Linked DNA regions of Caenorhabditis elegans. The protein of the gene in region 1 interacts with the protein of each later gene in a pairwise test. Each region holds a gene or a part of one and is shown in the gene's direction. Other genes may lie near its edges.

The links.
Region 2: the proteins of npp-10 (region 1) and T24D1.3 interact in a two-hybrid assay, tested with the Caenorhabditis elegans proteins (one large-scale study listed by BioGRID).
Region 3: the proteins of npp-10 (region 1) and klp-15 interact in a two-hybrid assay, tested with the Caenorhabditis elegans proteins (one large-scale study listed by BioGRID).

Annotation. Positions count from the first base shown.
Region 1 is NC_003281.10:6,012,882-6,021,681, reverse strand, and holds npp-10 (Nuclear pore complex protein Nup98), read left to right. Parts: upstream 1-2,119; 5' UTR 2,120-2,133; coding exon 2,134-2,347; intron 2,348-2,395; coding exon 2,396-2,596; intron 2,597-2,638; coding exon of another isoform or gene 2,639-2,644; coding exon 2,645-3,100; intron 3,101-3,146; coding exon 3,147-3,373; intron 3,374-3,418; coding exon 3,419-5,164; intron 5,165-5,212; coding exon 5,213-5,299; coding exon of another isoform or gene 5,300-5,314; exon of another isoform or gene 5,315-5,509; intron 5,510-5,584; coding exon 5,585-6,076; intron 6,077-6,198; coding exon 6,199-7,196; intron 7,197-7,243; coding exon 7,244-7,699; intron 7,700-7,749; coding exon 7,750-7,909; 3' UTR 7,910-8,235; downstream 8,236-8,800. Other genes in the region: Ubiquitin carboxyl-terminal hydrolase cyk-3, read right to left, coding at 1-68, 115-277, 324-588, 635-871, 921-1,037, 1,086-1,239, 1,280-1,350, 1,398-1,470. UniProt on the Caenorhabditis elegans protein: Nup98 and Nup96 play a role in the bidirectional transport across the nucleoporin complex (NPC). Required for the nuclear import of hcp-4 during mitotic prophase, this step is essential for centrosome assembly and resolution.
Region 2 is NC_003279.8:9,957,540-9,961,984, reverse strand, and holds T24D1.3 (RING-type domain-containing protein), read left to right. Parts: upstream 1-1,889; 5' UTR 1,890-1,900; coding exon 1,901-1,986; intron 1,987-2,033; coding exon 2,034-2,840; intron 2,841-2,887; coding exon 2,888-3,044; 3' UTR 3,045-3,203; downstream 3,204-4,445. Other genes in the region: algn-10 (Dol-P-Glc:Glc(2)Man(9)GlcNAc(2)-PP-Dol alpha-1,2-glucosyltransferase), read left to right, coding at 14-71, 128-232, 281-456, 505-623, 667-1,486; har-2 (RING-type domain-containing protein), read left to right, coding at 3,640-3,965, 4,019-4,165, 4,376-4,445.
Region 3 is NC_003279.8:5,575,994-5,581,487, reverse strand, and holds klp-15 (Kinesin motor domain-containing protein), read left to right. Parts: upstream 1-2,293; 5' UTR 2,294-2,306; coding exon 2,307-2,460; intron 2,461-2,591; coding exon 2,592-3,379; intron 3,380-3,426; coding exon 3,427-3,862; intron 3,863-3,909; coding exon 3,910-4,295; 3' UTR 4,296-4,418; downstream 4,419-5,494. Other genes in the region: ctnb-1 (Beta-catenin-like protein 1 N-terminal domain-containing protein), read right to left, coding at 1-33, 84-202, 454-698, 762-870, 915-1,118, 1,163-1,723, 1,766-1,822; rmh-1 (RecQ-mediated genome instability protein 1 homolog), read right to left, coding at 4,851-5,030, 5,073-5,168, 5,213-5,272, 5,331-5,465.

The DNA of each region.
Region 1 (8,800 bases):
ACTCGGATGTAGTCAGATGGAATAAGATCGGGTTTCAGACGAGCTGATTCAGCTGAAATGCAAGCAACCTGAAAATTAATTAATTCTTTACTTTTCCGGACTAGAAAGTCAAACCTTGCTGGTCCAGCTATCTTCTCTTGTTCCCTTGATACCAGAATTATCGATTGGATTCGGATTTTTATCTGCTTCCAGGAAGGATCTGAGCTCAGCATGCCATCCTGAAGCTACAATGTTCCACTCGGAAAGTGGAAGCTCAGAGGCACGTTTTTCAAATTCGCTGAAATTCAAAGTTATTTAAACTGAGAATTGAAAGCTACACTAACTTCACAATTTGTAATTCCATTTTCCGTGACTCTGGTCTCAATCCGAGACAAATGTGTCCGATTTGAAGAGCCATAGAATAATATTCATTGACATATTTTTCGTTTTCCTGTGCCCATATTCCAAAATCAACGAGAGCAGATTTCCCATTCGATGATTTTGTGACAGTCTGATGTTCTTCTGGGACATTAAGATCTTTGTACATGTTAGAAAGTTCTTCGTCAGACAGAAGTTTGTCACAGTCGACGTCCCAGATTCGTGCCAACTCTAAAACAACTTTTTAGTTTCTCAAAATAATTTCTTAAAAACTCACGAGAAATTCTCCCTGGTAGAGGTCCACGACAAAGAGCCGAAAGTGTACAAACGAGCTCTCTGAAGTCAATTTGACCATCTCGATTCTCATCGAAAACAGCGAATAATCTCTCAGCATAACTATCCGGGAAGCATCCACCCAATGCTTGTTTCCACTTCTCTTCATTCAGTTTGCAGACAGCTCGATCACTGATCGTGGCGAACACTTTCTCTAACTCGATAACCTCGTTCACGGATACTGAAAAATGGTTTTTGAAATACGGAAATCAAGATAATTTAAATCTTACAATGCGTCACATAAGACATCACTTCGTAAAATGAGATATAGGAATCATTGAGCGGAATCGTAAGCTTAGGAGGACTCAATCCCCATGACGCGAACTCGTGATATTCTTCGATAAACCCTGAAAATAAATAATTTAATATTATTTCTGAAATGTTTCTTGACTGACTCGATTGTACTTCTTCTACTCTACACAATCCAACAAGAGATGAAAGCAAATTGTCAAAGGAAATGGTTTCAGCGCCATGAGAGAAGAAGCTGAACAGCAGGCGTCGTTTTTCTTCTGGTATCTGCGCGCCTCCGAGAACATGATAGCAGAATTCCTTAAATGGTGAAGTTAAAAAAATAATTAAAAACAGTTACGTCATAATTAATGCATCCATTTTTGAAGCGTTGGAAAGCTTGGCGAATTCGTCGATACTCCTCGTCCGATACTAAAAATTTGAGTTTATGTTTGTTTTGTAACATCCCTGAAACTCACTATAAGTTTTAGCATCTTCCGCACTGATAATCGGTGCGATAGCGTTCGAACGTCCAGTTAACGTGTTACCCATTTCGGATTATGGCATTTGAGCATCTGAACCAGATTTTCTTGCCGAATCTGAAAGAAAAAATGTAAAAATCAATTTATTTGAAAAGAAAAGCATTTGTAAAAGTTTTTCAGTGGAGACCGACTTTAGAACGATTATGGAAAACAGTTTATTCCAATAAACCCCACGAAAAAACACGAATTGCGGGAAAAAATAAAAGACTTGTCGAGAACTGTCAAAAACCCTCGCGCAGTGAGACAGTGTGTGAACTTAAGAGACGCAGGGTGTATAATGCAAACTCGCTCTGTTGCGATTTCAGAATCACTTCGAAAAAATTTTTGCATTCGAAATCATTTCGCTCATTTTTTCATCTCGAGTTTGGTTGTAGAAGTTGTTCTCCCATTTTTTGTGTTATTCTTGCACATTTTCAGTCATAAATATGTACCTGTAACCTGATCAATCAATCAATGTCCGTCTAGTCGCATTAGCGTGCAATTTGAGTGTAGAGTAATTCCGATTTGGAAATCCTAAAGTACATTTTCAAGTAAATGCTATCTTTTTGGTTGTATGAAAACTTGTGACAGCTCTTAGCAGAATGTTCATGACAACCGCCTTTCATTCACTGCAAATTATTACTTGCTCATCGCTTCATCTATAACCGTCTCATCAATTGCAAGTTTCAGCTAAATGTTCGGCCAGAACAAATCATTCGGCTCATCGAGTTTTGGCGGTGGCAGCTCTGGGAGCGGTCTATTTGGACAAAACAACCAGAACAATCAAAACAAAGGATTGTTTGGTCAGCCAGCCAATAACAGTGGAACTACTGGCCTTTTCGGGGCGGCACAGAACAAGCCGGCAGGATCAATCTTCGGAGCGGCCAGCAACACTTCCAGCATATTCGGTATTTTGATCAATAATTGTATGCGTTTGATTTATTTTAATATTTTAGGAAGTCCGCAGCAGCCTCAGAACAACCAGAGTTCATTGTTCGGTGGAGGGCAGAACAATGCCAACAGAAGTATCTTTGGGTCAACTTCTTCAGCAGCTCCCGCAAGCAGTTCCCTATTCGGTAACAACGCTAACAATACTGGAACCAGCAGCATTTTTGGTTCCAATAATAATGCACCATCTGGTGGAGGTCTCTTTGGAGGTAAACAATTGATTTTCGATAAATAAATTAATCTTGTATCAGCTTCAGCATCGACCGTATCTGGAACCACTGTTAAGTTTGAGCCACCGATCAGTTCTGATACTATGATGAGAAATGGGACAACTCAGACAATTTCCACGAAGCACATGTGCATTTCTGCAATGTCGAAGTACGATGGAAAGAGTATTGAAGAGCTCCGAGTGGAGGATTACATTGCAAATAGAAAGGCTCCCGGAACAGGAACGACTTCCACTGGCGGTGGGCTTTTTGGAGCATCCAACACAACAAACCAAGCTGGAAGCAGTGGGCTTTTTGGATCAAGTAATGCTCAACAGAAGACTTCTCTGTTCGGGGGAGCTTCGACGTCATCTCCATTTGGTGGGAACACGAGCACAGCAAACACTGGAAGTTCATTGTTCGGTAACAACAACGCCAACACGTCTGCTGCAAGTGGATCTCTTTTCGGAGCTAAACCAGCGGGCTCGTCACTGTTCGGATCTACAGGTAAGAATAAATCTAGCATCAACACAATTTTTAACCTTAAACTTAGCTACAACAGGAGCTTCAACATTCGGTCAGACAACTGGATCGTCTCTTTTCGGCAATCAACAACCACAGACGAATACTGGTGGATCGTTGTTCGGGAATACACAGAATCAAAATCAATCTGGGTCCCTGTTCGGCAACACGGGGACGACTGGTACCGGACTCTTCGGCCAAGCTCAGCAACAACCACAGCAACAATCGAGTGGATTCAGTTTCGGAGGTGCCCCAGCGGTGAGTTAAGATATCCTAGAATTTCAATATTTTATTAATTTTCAGGCGACAAATGCTTTCGGTCAGCCGGCTGCTGCAAACACCGGTGGAAGTCTCTTCGGAAATACTTCGACAGCCAATACTGGCAGTTCGTTATTTGGTGCGAAGCCTGCAACAAGTACCGGCTTCACATTTGGAGCCACTCAGCCAACAACTACAAATGCCTTCGGTTCCACAAATACCGGAGGTGGATTGTTTGGAAACAATGCAGCAAAGCCAGGTGGTTTGTTCGGAAATACGACGAATACTGGAACAGGCGGCGGTCTCTTTGGTTCCCAGCCACAAGCTTCTTCAGGAGGACTGTTTGGTTCAAACACTCAAGCTACACAGCCGTTGAATACTGGATTCGGAAATCTTGCTCAACCGCAAATTGTAATGCAACAACAAGTGGCCCCGGTACCTGTGATTGGCGTTACGGCTGATGTCCTCCAGATGCAAGCAAACATGAAGTCATTGAAGTCGCAGTTGACAAATGCGCCGTATGGTGATTCACCACTACTCAAATACAATGCGAATCCAGAAATTGATGGGAAGTCTTCGCCGGCTAGTACTCAACGACAGCTGAGATTCCTTGCTGCGAAGAAAGGCGCTCTGTCATCGTCTTCTGATGCACAAGATTCGTCGTTTATCATTCCACCAATCAGCAAAGTGATGAGTGATCTTTCTCCAGCAGTTACCAGGTCAGCCGATGTCACCAAAGATTTGAACTACACTTCCAAAGAAGCGCCACCATCACTTGCTCGCGGACTTCGAAACAGCACATTCAATCCGAATATGTCGCTGACAAATCGAAGTGTTCACGAATCAAGTGCCCTCGACAAAACTATCGACTCAGCTCTGGATGCTTCCATGAATGGAACTTCAAATCGTCTTGGAGTTCGTGGATCCGTGAGAAGATCGAATTTGAAGCAGTTGGACATGTCTCTGCTCGCAGATTCTTCGAGAGTTGGAAGAGAATCCCGTGTAGCTGATCCAGATGCTCTTCCTCGAATCTCTGAATCCGAAAGACGTCAAGACGTTGTCACTTCCACTCCAGCAGTTGACCCCGTTCAGGCTGTAATCCAGAGACATAATGACAGAAATAGAGATCCACCATCGTTGAACTTGGATACGACATGCGATGAGCACACTGGCTTGGAGCCGGTGTCTGCTGCAACTAGTTCAGCAGCATCTGTTGTGTCGACGCCTTCTGAAGAAACTGTTAATGTCAATTCGGCAGCAGGAGTGAAGCTTACAAAGCCCGACTACTTTTCTCTTCCGACAATCAATGAGATGAAGAACATGATCAAGAACGGACGTGTTGTGTTGGAGGATGGATTGACAGTTGGAAGATCGTCGTACGGAAGTGTCTACTGGCCAGGACGAGTCGAGCTGAAAGATGTTGCTCTCGACGAGATTGTTGTATTTCGTCATCGCGAGGTGACGGTTTATCCGAATGAAGAAGAGAAAGCTCCAGAAGGTCAAGAACTGAATAGGCCAGCAGAAGTGACACTCGAAAGAGTATGGTACACTGATAAGAAGACCAAGAAAGAAGTGCGAGATGTCGTGAAACTCTCCGAGATTGGTTGGCGCGAGCATCTCGAGAGACAAACGATTCGGATGGGAGCCGCATTCAAAGATTTTCGTGCAGAAACTGGAAGCTGGGTCTTCCGTGTGGACCATTTCAGCAAGTATGGATTGGCCGACGATGATGAGCCAATGGATGGGTCCCCTCCACAGCAAGCACTACAGGCATCTTCTCCATTACAAGTGGTAAATTTTTAAAACTCATTTTACCCTTTTACACAAATAGTTTTCCAGATCGACATGAATACATCTGCTCGAGACGTGAACAATCAAGTGCAAAGAAAGAAGGTGCACAAGGCAACGGATGCTCACCATCAAGAGGTCCGTTTTGAATGATTGTCACTCACTATAATTCAATCATCACCGTATTTTAATTTTCCTTCTAAACGTTTTGCTGTTTCATTTAAAAATTTTCTGCTTTCATTCTTAGCATTTCACATGACTGCTTGCCAATACCATCTAGGGCAGGCTAAAGACTCAAATTATTCTCGTTTATTCTTTTCTAACTCAATAAATTTGTTTTTAAAATTAGCCTCTTCAAATGGTATTGGTAGACAGACCGTTTAGGGTTTAATATGGAGAGCCATCAGCAGTTATTTGTTTCAGATAATTCTGGAACGAGTTCCGGCACCTGCTGCATTAGGTGATGTTGTGCCGATCATTCGTCGTGTTAACCGAAAAGGTCTTGGTGGTGGAACATTGGATGATAGTCGAGAAGAATCATGCATCGGAAATATGACCACCGAATTCAATGAAAGTGGTCATGATTCAATTATTGAAGAAGGTCAGCAGCCGGAAAAGAAGCCGAAACTTGAACTTCTCGCTGATTTGGAATACGAAAGCAGTCGATTCATTCGCAATCTCCAGGAACTGAAAGTCATGCCGAAGGCCAACGACCCAGCTCATCGGTTCCACGGTGGTGGACACTCTGCTAAAATGATTGGATATGGAAAGAGCAAACTGATTGATATAGGAATTGTGAAGGGAAGAAGTTCACATGTCGGATGGAGTGAAACTGGATGTCTTGTGTGGTCAGCTCAACCCCGACACAATCAAGTACTCTTTGGGACAATTGATAGAACATCGGACGTGAATGAGGTAATATTTGTGACTTTATAAAAGCCCTTCTGTGATTTACAGTCTATTTGTCAATTGGATTTCTAAGTACTTTTTTACACCGTTCTCTTCTATGGCCCATTTTTAATTTAATCAATTTTCAGAACACGCTAATCTCAATGCTTGATGTGAATGTTCATGTATCTGAAACCAGTCGCAAGGGTCCATCTTCACAATCCAACTCGGTTAAATCTTCGCTCACTTCTAACTTCGTCACTTATTCTGACTCATATTCATCCATGTTTGCCAAGTACATCGATGTCGCTCAAGCTGGTGGATATGATGGACATGTTTCTGTTTGGAAGTTGATATCTGCTCTATTCCCATATGAACGTCGAGAAGGATGGTCTTTCGAGCGTGGTGAAGAAATTGGAGAATGGCTTAGAACAGAAGCAGTGAAGTCTGTTCCAGACGATAGAAGTGCGGATACATCTTCAAATGGTGTTTGGAATCAACTCTGTCTTGGAGACATCGATAAAGCTTTTCAAATTGCGATTGATAATAATCAGCCACAGCTTGCTACGATGCTTCAGACTTCTGCTGTGTGCCCAGAAGCTACTGTTCATTGCTTTAAAGCACAACTTGACAACTGGAAGAAATGCGAAACTCTTCATTTGATTCCGAAGGAAACTCTCAAATGCTATGTTCTGATGTCAGGACTATCACACTACGAATGGGATCAAGACGGAAAGAATCATTCGATCAACTGTCTTGATGGACTCAATTGGATTCAAGCACTCGGTTTGCATGTCTGGTATCTTCGTGCATGGACTGGTCTAGAAGAATCTTACGATGCTTATCAGAAAGATGTCAATGCTGGCCGTGCCGCTTCTAATCGTGGAGATCTGCCCGGAGAACTCATCAAATTGGCATGTGAATCACAGCACTCAGTGGAAGTTGTACTTGACTGTGCAGCTGGAGAAAATCCCAACGATTATTTCCTTCAATGGCACGTATGGAGCTTGCTCTATTCGGTTGGATACCGTACAATGTCAAAGACTTCGGAAACAAGACTTCACAGAAACTATTCATCTCAATTGGAAGCATCAAGTCTCTCAAAATATGCATTGTTTGTTTTGCAGCACATTGATGATGATGAAGAGTGAGTTGAATTTTAGAATCTTTCAATTTATAAATATATTTATCCAGAAGATCAACAGCAGTTCGTTCCCTCCTCGACCGTATTGCTCGTTTCACCGACAATGATATGTTTGATTCTATTTCCGAACAGTTCGATATTCCTTCGGAATGGATTGCTGATGCTCAATTCTCAATTGCAAAGTCAGTCGATGATTCTACCCAACTTTTCGAATTGGCTGTGGCTGCAAAGAACTATCTGGAAATTTGTCGCTTATTTGTGGATGATATTGCACCAACTGCAGTTGTAGCTGGAGATCATGACGCTCTCAAAGCAGCATGCGCGATGGTTCGTCCTTTCGAAAATCAGATTCCCGAGTGGGGTGCGACTGGAATGGTCTACACTGATTATTGCCGATTGATCAATTTGATCGAAAATGATGCGGAAGAAGAACTCTTACAGGACGTGCTTGAAAGTCTGGAAACTCGTCTACATGCTCCTACAATCAGCAAGAACAGTCTTCAAAAGTAAGCTATTGGGACATAAGTTTTTTTTAAAACTATTTATATAATTTCAGGCTCTCTCTTCAAACAATTGGACGTGTTTTGTTCGAGTACCGTGCTGATAAGAATACACTTCCAGAGTGGACAAAGCTTCTCGGACATCGGCAAATGTTTAAGATCTTCCGTGATCGTTCGTCTTGGGGAATCGAAAGATTCACAATTGAATTTGACTAGACTAGCCACTTTTTAATTTATTCATTTTTCACCTGATTCTAATTTTATTTTTTTTATTTACATTTTCCTGCCCTCTCCGTCTGTCTTCCTCGTATATCATCATTTCCCGAATCGTCTTTTTATTACTATGAATATGAACTTTTTGTAGGATGTTATTACTGTTGTGTTCTATTCACATGAGAAAACTAGTACAGAAATTTAGAAATCAGCAAAACGATAAATTGAGTACTCGAATTTAATTTAAAATTCAATTTCCGACCACGCGATGATGTTAATCTAGTACATCTTGATAAAAGTTGCTAAATAAATGGAAAGTTTTCTTGAATAATTCAGTCTGGCGGATTTAGCCAGTAGGAATGATCGTTTCTTAATTGGAGTGGTTCGCTTCGTTTTACGAGGTAGAGCAATTCGGGAGGCCCCACGAAAAGGGGAGCAGAACGAAAAGGGGATCTGCAAAAAGGGGATCTGCGAAAAGGGGAGATACGAAAAGGGGAGCAACGAAAAGGGGATCTGGCACTGTGCCAAACGCTATTTTCCTCGAAGAAAACGATACAACGATGCTCCGATGTTACGCGTCGCGTGTTGTTAAGCGTATCTTCTAGAAGAAAATTTCAAAAATCAACGTGCGCTGCGTGAGAAAAATTGCGTTTTGTGCGTTTGGCACAGTGCCAGCTCCCCTTTTCGTTGCTCCCCTTTTCGCAGATCCCCTTTTTGCAGATCCCCTTTTCGTTCTGCTCCCCTTTTCGTGGGGCCTCCAATTCGGTTATAGCTTATGCTTAGACTTAAAATTAAGCGTAGGCTTATGTTGATCTTCAGTTTTTTTTTTTTCAAAAAAGTTGTCCAAGAGTAATACCTTCAACGGACATTCAGCTTGTTTGACGAAACTAAGAG
Region 2 (4,445 bases), on another chromosome or scaffold:
TATTTACTTTCAGATGACAAAATCGAAACCGCCCCGAATAAGCCTGCCATTTGCCGCAATATCCAGGAAAAGTGAATGAATATTTGCTGGAGTTAAAAATTCATTTAACCAATTTTCTCAAGTTTAGGCGATTTTCTACTTGGTGCTTCGTTTTCTTGCATTCACGTTCTGCTGACAACAATTGTCTACCACTATGTTCCAGAGCCGTATATGGATGAGATCTTCCACATTAGTGAGACACAATTGTCGAGATTCTGTCTACAATTTCCCTAATTTTCAGCTCAAACTAGATCATATTGCTCAGGAAATTACAGCTGGAATCCATTAATTACAACTCCACCGGCACTTTATGTTATTTCAATGCCATTATGTGGTGGAAATGAAAGATACGCTAACTCGATTCTTCTATTTTTCGCTATACCAGCATTTTGCCGTTTTCGGAGAATGTTCGTTAGAGTAAGAATTCCAACTTTGAAGATTTATTTGAAAAATACCGATTTGCAGCAAGATGTATGGCTGACTGCATCAATCGTCGGAATGCTTCCAATTTTGATATCGTCTTCAATTCTTTTTTATACCGATTTGTTGTCACTCACTTCAGTTATTTGGGGATTTTCGATCGGGTAAATCAATGCATCTATTGAAAATAATGATGTGATATTTCAGAAACCCAATTGCATCTGCGTTCTTATTCCTAATCTCAATACTGACACGCCAGACAAATATCATTTGGGCAGCGATATACGCGTTCTCTGTAATTGCTTCAAGAATTGACAAGTCCCGCTCAAAAATGGAAAATCTTAAGATCATAATTTCAACTGCATTTTCTCTATGGCCATTCATTACACTTGCAATTGGATTTGCGATGTTTATATATTTCAATGATTTCCAAATTGTCCTTGGAGATGCAAAAGCTCACCAACCAAAGTTCCACGTGGCTCAATTTTTCTACATGGTTGCATTCTGCGCGGCTCACACTTGGACTCAAATCATCCCAAATCTGTTATCTCACCTTCGACACCTAACCGACATGAAATCATTAGTTCTACAAGCAGTTGTGGCAGTTCTTGTCTACTACTATTCTTATGATCACCCGTATCTTCTCGCTGATAATCGGCATTTCACATTCTACATCTGGAGGCGATTCTTGGCAAATCCCACAATGCGGACAACTCTTGCTCCTCTCTACGTGTTTTCTTTAAGATTTATGACGACATCGACACCGTCCGTGCATATATTCCACAAAATTCTATTTATAATCGCATCTTTACTCGTTTTGGTTCCAGCTCATCTATTCGAAATGCGATATTATATTATTCCTTATGTTCTCTGGAGACTTTCGACTGTAAATAACTCTAGAAAATCACTTCTCTTCTTGGAAATTATATCTCAAGCTGTGATTTTTGCGGCAGTTTTTGTTTTATTCTTATTTAAAACGTTCGAATGGTCCAACGAACCTGGCGTCAAGCAACGGTTCATGTTCTAGGATTTTACAGTTATCTATTTGATTTTCTTGTTTTTCTTACGGGGTTTTTTAATAAAAAATAATTAATTTATTTTCTATGGAATTATTCTTATTGAGAACGAATTTGTTCAGAAATTGCAACAAAAAAACGAAAAAGAAATAAAAATTTCTCGAATACAGTAACCACATTAGATGAGTCGTGGGTCTCGCAGCGATTACCAAGTTTGCCCTTTTCGTTTCATGAAATTTCATGTTTTGTTCTATTTTTCTCGCGCCTTAGTTTCGCATTTTTACAGATTCTAAAAACATTTTCAATTGAGAAACCGTCATTTTTTTTTCATTTAAATCATTCTTAATGCTTTCTAGACTTTCTGTTTCAAGCGCAGCTTAAGATTTTGAAAGCAATTATTCTCTTCTCTTCCAGACTCAAACGGAATGCCATCACCAGCACGCAGGTCTCGGCGACGGCGTTCATCGTTGTTGAACTTTTCGTTCTCAGAAGTCGATTTGGAACAACAAAGGTTTGACTGTGAATAGTATTCCTATTCGGTACCTGATTATTTTACAGGCGAGCGTTAGAGATGTTTGAGCAGCAGATGAACGATCAAGCTTTTGCACAACTTATTCATGATCACGATGTCCAACATATAAATAATGATGCAAATCAAGTCCCGGCAGCGCCCAACACACCGCCAGTTCCAGTACCTCCGCCAGTTCAGCAACCACAAGCATCGCCCAATGCGAGCCCGGTTTCCGTTTTGAGACGTCGGAGATATGCAAACCCTGAACAGGAGAGATTTGGAGATATTAGCCGACGCATACATAATCCTGCAAATCAAATCCCGGCAGCACCCAATACACAGCCAGAGGTACCTCCTACTGTTCAGCAACCAGAATCATCTTCTCAAGAGCGTGCATCACCCACATCGCCAGAGATTACGATTTTTTCTACAGGATTGTTGGGCTTGAGACGTCGGAGTTCTGCAAGAATCTCAATCAGAATGTCAGCGACTGCTCAAACCAATCTACCGATTACACCGATTCGTAGAAGAAGGGGTCGAGCAGTTTCTCCCATCCTTGAAATCGAGTTTGAAAACCTTTCAAGTAGCAGTAGTGGAACCAGCGGTGACTCGGGAAATCATTCGTCACCAACGAACACTAACGATCAATCATTTATTGGCGATGATGCGAGAACATATGACCAGGAGCACGTTCCCATAGACTTTGAAGGGCCGAGCACATCTACCGGAATCACAGATCGACATCCCAGACGACGCAATCAAGACGGCTCCCACGGAGAGTGTACAATGTGCTTCGAGGTTCCGGTTTCGCCGCTTGGATGCAACAATTGTCTACAGATTATTGGATGTGAAGAGTAATTGTAGCAGTTTTTGTCGACATTAACATAAATATAATTTTCAGATGTGTCGATATTTGGTATCGCAGTTCGTCCAAACCATCGTGCCCGCTTTGTCGTCGAAAATGGGCAAGAAAGCCGGACGTATCGAAGATGTCTGTGATTTCTGTGAGAAAACAGTCTTCTCTTCGTCGATCCAAGCGCCGAATAACTTCCAAATAATTTGTAAATTCCCTTTAACTCATATTGTTTTGTGCCATATAACTCACCTATATTGCTTGTAAAATCGTTAAGATTACTATATTATCGGAGATTGCCTGTTTTTTTTTATTTGCCTATTTTTTAATCCAATCTCACAAAAAAATGAATGCATGTATATATATTTTCGAATATTGATGTCTTCTCAACTTATGTTTTAGTCATGATACTTCTAACATATTTTCTTCGTTGTTTGCGGTGATTTTTTACTGTTCCAGTTCATTAGCAAAATGTGCCGAAATATATACAATCGCTTGATTTATCTGAAAATATCTTTATTTTCAGCTGAAGTTTTGGAAAAAATGCCCAAAATAGCCTGAAATTTGATTATCGTATTGAAGAATTATCGAGCTTGTTTTTCGACAATCACCAACTTGCCGCCCATTTTGAGCAATTTTTCGAAAATATTTCAGCAGAAAAATTGTTATTTGAGATAAATCAAATGATCGTCGATATTCTGACACTTTTTTAAAGGTGTAACTATTCCTTTTTAATATTTTGTTATTTGTATTAGCATTCTCTAAAATTTCAAATTTTGATATTTCAGTCAACAAGTTGGATGGATCCAATGCGTGGATCTCGTCAACATAGGATAAAAGGTTTTCCTGAAGTTGATGTGGAAGAGCAAAGACGAGCATTCAGGCGATATGAACAACAAATGGAAGACTATGAGCTAGCACGTAGAATTCAAGAGCAGGAAAATCGGCAAAATGAAGGTGAAAGGCCTGATTTTCCGAATGGTGGAGGGAATTGGGATTTGGACAGCGATAATGACGATGAAGAAATGATGGATGAAGAAGAGGAAGAATTTTCCGATGATGCTACATATTCTGCACCAAGAGAAACTGACAGAATAGATAATAGAAATGCATCACAACACGTAAGGTGAGTTCTAACTTATTTTTGTTTGAGCATATTGGAAATATATAGTTCTTCAGAGTACCAACAAGCCATCGATCTGTATTTTTTAATGTCGAAGAAGATGTCGATTCTGAGATGAGTGATGAAGATGAAGAGGATGACGAAGAGGAAGAAAATTATCATCGAGCACATGAAGGCCACCAAATCGCTTCAAGAATAAGACGGTAAACCACAGTTTCTCGCATCAAGGGTGTGTGGGTTTTTCGTTTTCCCGATACTTCAAAAAAATATCATTTTTCCTTATTTTAGAAGAAAATAACATTACCTTATAAAAACTAAATTTAATTTGTTAATGTTCTTTTTGATACTTTTTTTCGGAAAATCAAGTGACACCCTTGACTACCACATTTCTTATGAAAATTAACATTTTTTAGAGAACCAATTTCACGAGTTGTGTTCAGTGATGATGAGGAAGACAGCGAGATAACAGACGAGGATGAAGAA
Region 3 (5,494 bases), on another chromosome or scaffold:
TTCTTTTTCAATTCAAATCGTTGAACTTTTTCTCTGAAATTGAAATAAAATTATTTTTCATAACGGAATGTGCTTCAACTCACTTGTACTTCAAAAATAGCTCCACAGCTCTGTCCACTTTCTCATGTTCGTGCTCAACAAATTTTTGAACAATTCGTTGACGGTGGTTCTCCGAACATGCTGCCAGCAGTGAAGAGAGAATCTAAAAAATTATTATTTATCATCAAAAGAACATTTCCTACAATATAAATTAGTCACTTTTTGTAAAATGTAATTCGTAGAAATAGATTTTTCGATTTTTAATTTAATTATATGTTCGATAAGTATCAAAAAGTGCAAGGCAGATTTGAAAACTCAATTTTTGTTCAAAAAAGGAGAAAAACCGAAAGTCCGATTTACCAGTCCAATTTTGAAGCTAAAACATTCAAAATAATATCACAACATAAATCTTACCGTACAAACGTGTTCTTCATGTTCATCAGGTGTCGTATCCTTTCTTTTTGTCTTTGAAGGTGTTCTCATGAATAACGGGAAAATTGTTCTCAATCCGAGCATTTCGACAAGTTTATTGCAATTTTCGATTCCCTCGTCTCCTGATGTTGCATGGTTCAGAACTTTCAGAGCACTTTGTCTTGCTTGTTTCTTCTCTCGGAGCATCAAATTCATCAATTGAAGACCTTCTCCGTCGAGGAACTTTTCTGAAAACATTTATTTTGAACAAGAGCAATTTTTTTGGTGTTTATATTCAAAAAAATTCGTACTTCGATTAGCCGGATGCATAAGTGCGGCACAAAGTGAGTTGAATAGATTTTCCATGTATTCTCGTTCGTCTACATTTGCTGGATCGTTCTTTTTGTACACAGCAATGGTCTTAAAAGTTCAATTTATTCTTGATACTTTGTTTGGCTACTCACTCTCAATAAAATATCGATGCCATCAATTTTCTCTGTCAGCTTTGCCTTTGCAGTATCAGAAGTCTGCAATATGACTGAAAGAAGTTCCGAAGCGTACATCTTATTCGCATCAAATGCACCTTTCTGAAAGCATCTTTTCAGAAGCCAAACCGTGAATCCGTGCTTTACGCATTCTTCAGTAATGTCATCGCGGAAACCAATCATCTGAAAATATATTGTTTTGTTTTTCAAATATCGATTTTTCTTACATTGTCCACAACTCCGAGTGCATTATGGACGCCATCCGCTTCATCTTTGACGCTTTCATCGAGCCTCTCTACGCATGCTAACAAAGTTGTGATAATCGATCCAGACACAAGACTTTCAATAAGTTCAGCTGCTCCATCTTCTCCTTCGTTCATCACATCATCGTCTGTAAGTTCTCTCAAGAGACTAAGTGTTGCACACACAATATCAGTATTCTCGTGTCCTAATAATTGAAGAAGAATTTCAACTCCGTTGACTTCAACAAACGATCCATAAAGGTCTGGTTGAGAAGCCAGACTATGCATTTCTTGAATTGCCTTGTCTAATTCAATTTCCGATTCCATGAATTTCTGAGCATCATCTGGATTTTTAACTCTTTGTTCTCGATTTAATCGCATCTTTTTGTCAAGTTGAATAACAAGTTTCTTAACTTGCACATCGTCGAGAGCCACATAATTTGATTGATCGGCTTCCAAAGCCGCAAGAATATCTTCTGGTTTTGGCTGGCCAGCTTGAGATGAAGAAGAAGCACTATCGTCAAAACGAGATTTCTTTCTTGCTGGCTGTAAACTATTTATAATCAAAAAAATTTAATATCAATTTACCTGATACAAAGAAGATGTCGATGATTTGATAATCTCTGTTACATCGATAGAAGTCATCTGGAAACAATCATTTACCAACCTATATTTTTAAAAAACCACAGAAAAATCAAAATATTGAAGAAAGTGTATAAAAATTTTCGCAAGCAAATATTTTCAAATTTTTTTTTTGCAATTACTTTGGTGTAGATATACGGTAAACAAGGCGCGCACCGGAATATCGGAGTGTCGCTCACATTATAATTTCTAGACCTGCATTTTATATATTTGTTTGTATAACCTGATATCAGTGCAATTATGGATAAGCCTTCTGTGTTATAGTTATAAATAATTTTTACGGCATTCTTTATGCCTTTTGACAACAAAATAATTATATCCGACAATTCTGGATGAGCTCAACATGATATAAATTTTTGATCTAATACCGTAGTTGACTACGGTAATCCATTCGATTTGGCGGGAATTTTCAGAGGCGGAGTTCAACTTTGAGCGGGAAAATGTCAATGAAGGGGCTGATTTCCTCATTTTTGTCCCAAATTTCGCGATGAATGTCGCTCGAAGAAGAAGTGGCCTGTTTCGGTCGACTATCGGAGCAACGCCGAAGATCACAAGAGGACGTGCTGCCGCGCCATCCACCAAAGAAGCCAATTCAACAACAATCCCAAGACAGTCGGCTCCTGGAGGAATAACGATTGGAGGTAAATTTGTCATTTGTGTTTTTAAATAACTTCCTCGTGATTTCAAAGTGTTCACACTTCTAAATAAAACATGTTTTTGTTTTTGTTTAAAACCTTTTTTGTTAACAACTACTTTAATTACGAGTTTTCAGCCGCTGCTCGTCGTCCTCCGTCTCGTTTGCCTACCCCCACAACGCCTGCAACTGGTAGAGCATCGTTGCCAGAACGATCAGCGATGGCCAAACCAGCGTCGTGTTCCCGTCCCATACCAACGATGCAATCCACCGCGAGCCGTATTTCCACACTGACGGCAGCTTCTACGTTTCGACAACTTCGCACAGGTCGTCCACCGCCACCATCCACTCAACGCTCAACTGCGACTTCTTCCCTGAAGCCGTCGGTGACAAGAGCCCGACCAGTGGCACAGAAGCCTATTCTCCCTTCTAAGATGGCGCTTCTTGAAGAGAAAATTGCGCAGCTCGAGAGTGCGATGGCTGAGGCTACCGACTTTGCTGAACATCAGAAGAGCAAGATCCAAATCCTGGATGGCAAACTTGAAGGAGCGGATCGCAAGCTGATTTCACTGCAAGATCAATTGAGCACGCTGAAAGAAGTCAACAAGGCGAAAGTGGAGGAGTGCGAGGATTATCGTGTGCACAACAACGATCTCCGGGATCTGCTCAACGAAAAGGAAGCTGAGTTGAGAAAGTTGCACAACGATGTTGTCGATTTACGCGGTCAAATTCGTGTGGCTGTTCGCGTTCGGCCGTTGATCAAATCTGAAGCCGACGCCTCGAGTTCTGCAATTGAGTATCCGGCTATCGATACCATCAGAATCAATGAAGGCTCGAAGCCTGGAATTGTGGTCAAATTCGAGAAGGTTTTCACGCCAGTCTTCTCGCAGAAGGAAGTGTTCGCGAACGTCGAGGAGTTCATTCGGGTTAGTTTCAAAATATAATATTAATAATTGAAAATTGATAATTTCAGTCGTCACTGCATGGGTACAACGTCGGATTGATTGCCTATGGACAAACCGGAAGTGGCAAAACTCACACGATGCGAGGAGGAAATGGTGAAGAGGAAGGAATCATCCCGAGAGCAGCTGCATTTCTGTTCGCCGAATCCAGAAAGCTCGAGTCACTTGGATGGAAATTCGACTTCTCGTTGTCTTTCCTAGAAGTCTACAACAACGTGGCATACGACCTTCTCAGTGACCGCGCCGTTGTCCAACTTCGTTTGAACGATCAAACGGTTTCCATGATTGGGCTCTCCGAGCACACGATTTCCAATGTCTCGGATGTGGCTAGACTTCTTCGTGTAGCAGACGGTGGCAGGAAGACGGCGGCGACAAAGTGCAATGAGAGCTCGTCTCGTTCGCACGCCGTTTATATGTGGAAGATTACAGCTCATCAGCCATCAACTGGTAACTTTCGAAAATAAAAATAATTAATTCACAATATTGATATACAGGAATTTCAACATCGTGCCAGCTCAAACTTGTGGATCTCGCAGGATCCGAACGTGCCAAGGAGTCTGGTGTCAGTGGCGACCAGTTCAAGGAGATGACTAATATCAACCAGTCGTTGTCTATCCTTCAGATGTGCATCAGCCAGCAAAGATCCCAGAAGGGACATGTTTCATATCGCGACAGCAAACTGACACAAGTGCTGATGGACTGCTTGGGACGTGGCAACTCGAAGACTATGGTTGTGGTCAATCTCAATCCATGCAACGAGCAAGCGACAGAGTCCAAGAGAAGCATCGAATTCGCCTCAAAGATGCGCAGTACTAACATCGGATCGGCCGTGCAGCAACGGACTCTCTTGGGTGACGTGTCCCAGATGTCTATGAACTAGACATATAATTCTATTCTAACATTTCATGTAAAATAACGTTATTTTTATTGCCTTATGCAAACCTTTTATACTGATGTAACCTAAATATTTCGATCATTAACAAAATGAACGAATTTCAATTTTACTTTGCGTTTTTTGAGTTTTAATCGTCTGTTTCAAAACAAAGGGAGATCCCGATAGGAAAAATATAGTCCGGTCTAAATGCTGTTGATTGGGTTATAAATACATTGTTTTGAGCTTTATGAGAATATTACATTTCTTACTGTAGTATGTATGTCTCGACCCGACGAACTTTTGATGAATTCGAAAATGGCATGACCCTTTAAAGAGTACTGTAGTTTCAAACTCTCGTTGTATCGAAAACTGTACAGTTTTCCATACAGTTTGTTTAAATTTATGTTTTTTGTTACATTTCTGTTTTAAAGAAATTTTAACGAAAGAAAAAGCTTAAAACAGTTGTATTGTATTTGGAAACAACAAAAAAACAAGAACAATTAAATAATACATGACTATATTGTGGTACACGTGAATTCAGGTAGCAAGCAATAGAAATAATTACAAAATATTGAGAGCATCAGAAATCGTTTTCACGTCAAGAATGAGCGGAATTTGGTTACGCTCTGGTGAAACCTCAACCCATAAAAGAAGATCAAGACGTTTGAATCCAAGAAGTTTACGTTCGGCTTCGCATTTCTTCGCACGTAGCTCCTCGACTTGATTTTTGTTGAATAAATTCTGAAAAAAAAAGGTTTACGAATAGCACATTAATTTTGTAACCTTGCACTGTTGAACATCAAATCCAAAAATTCGATTTAGAAGGCTCGTGGAAACGCGGCAGATAACATTTTTTACTGATGTATCTGTTACTCGTATCTGGAAAATAAAGTATTTAGAAATGAATTATTTGGACAATATACCTGTAGTAGCCAATCGATGCCATCAGATTGTAACTCGTGTATTTGACTGCAGATACTTGGCTGAAATGTGAGAAAATGTTAGAATTTTTGTTACTTCGTACAGAATATCAGCTATTACCATAATGACTACAATTTTTGACATCATCCAGAATTTTCGATTAAATAGTGCATCGCCGAATGGTACGATTTGCAGATCAGCCATTCGTTGGAATAATTGGGGCGACAATTTTGAAGATGAATCGCCACTGTTCAACTAGAATAAACCTCTTTTTTTGAAAATAA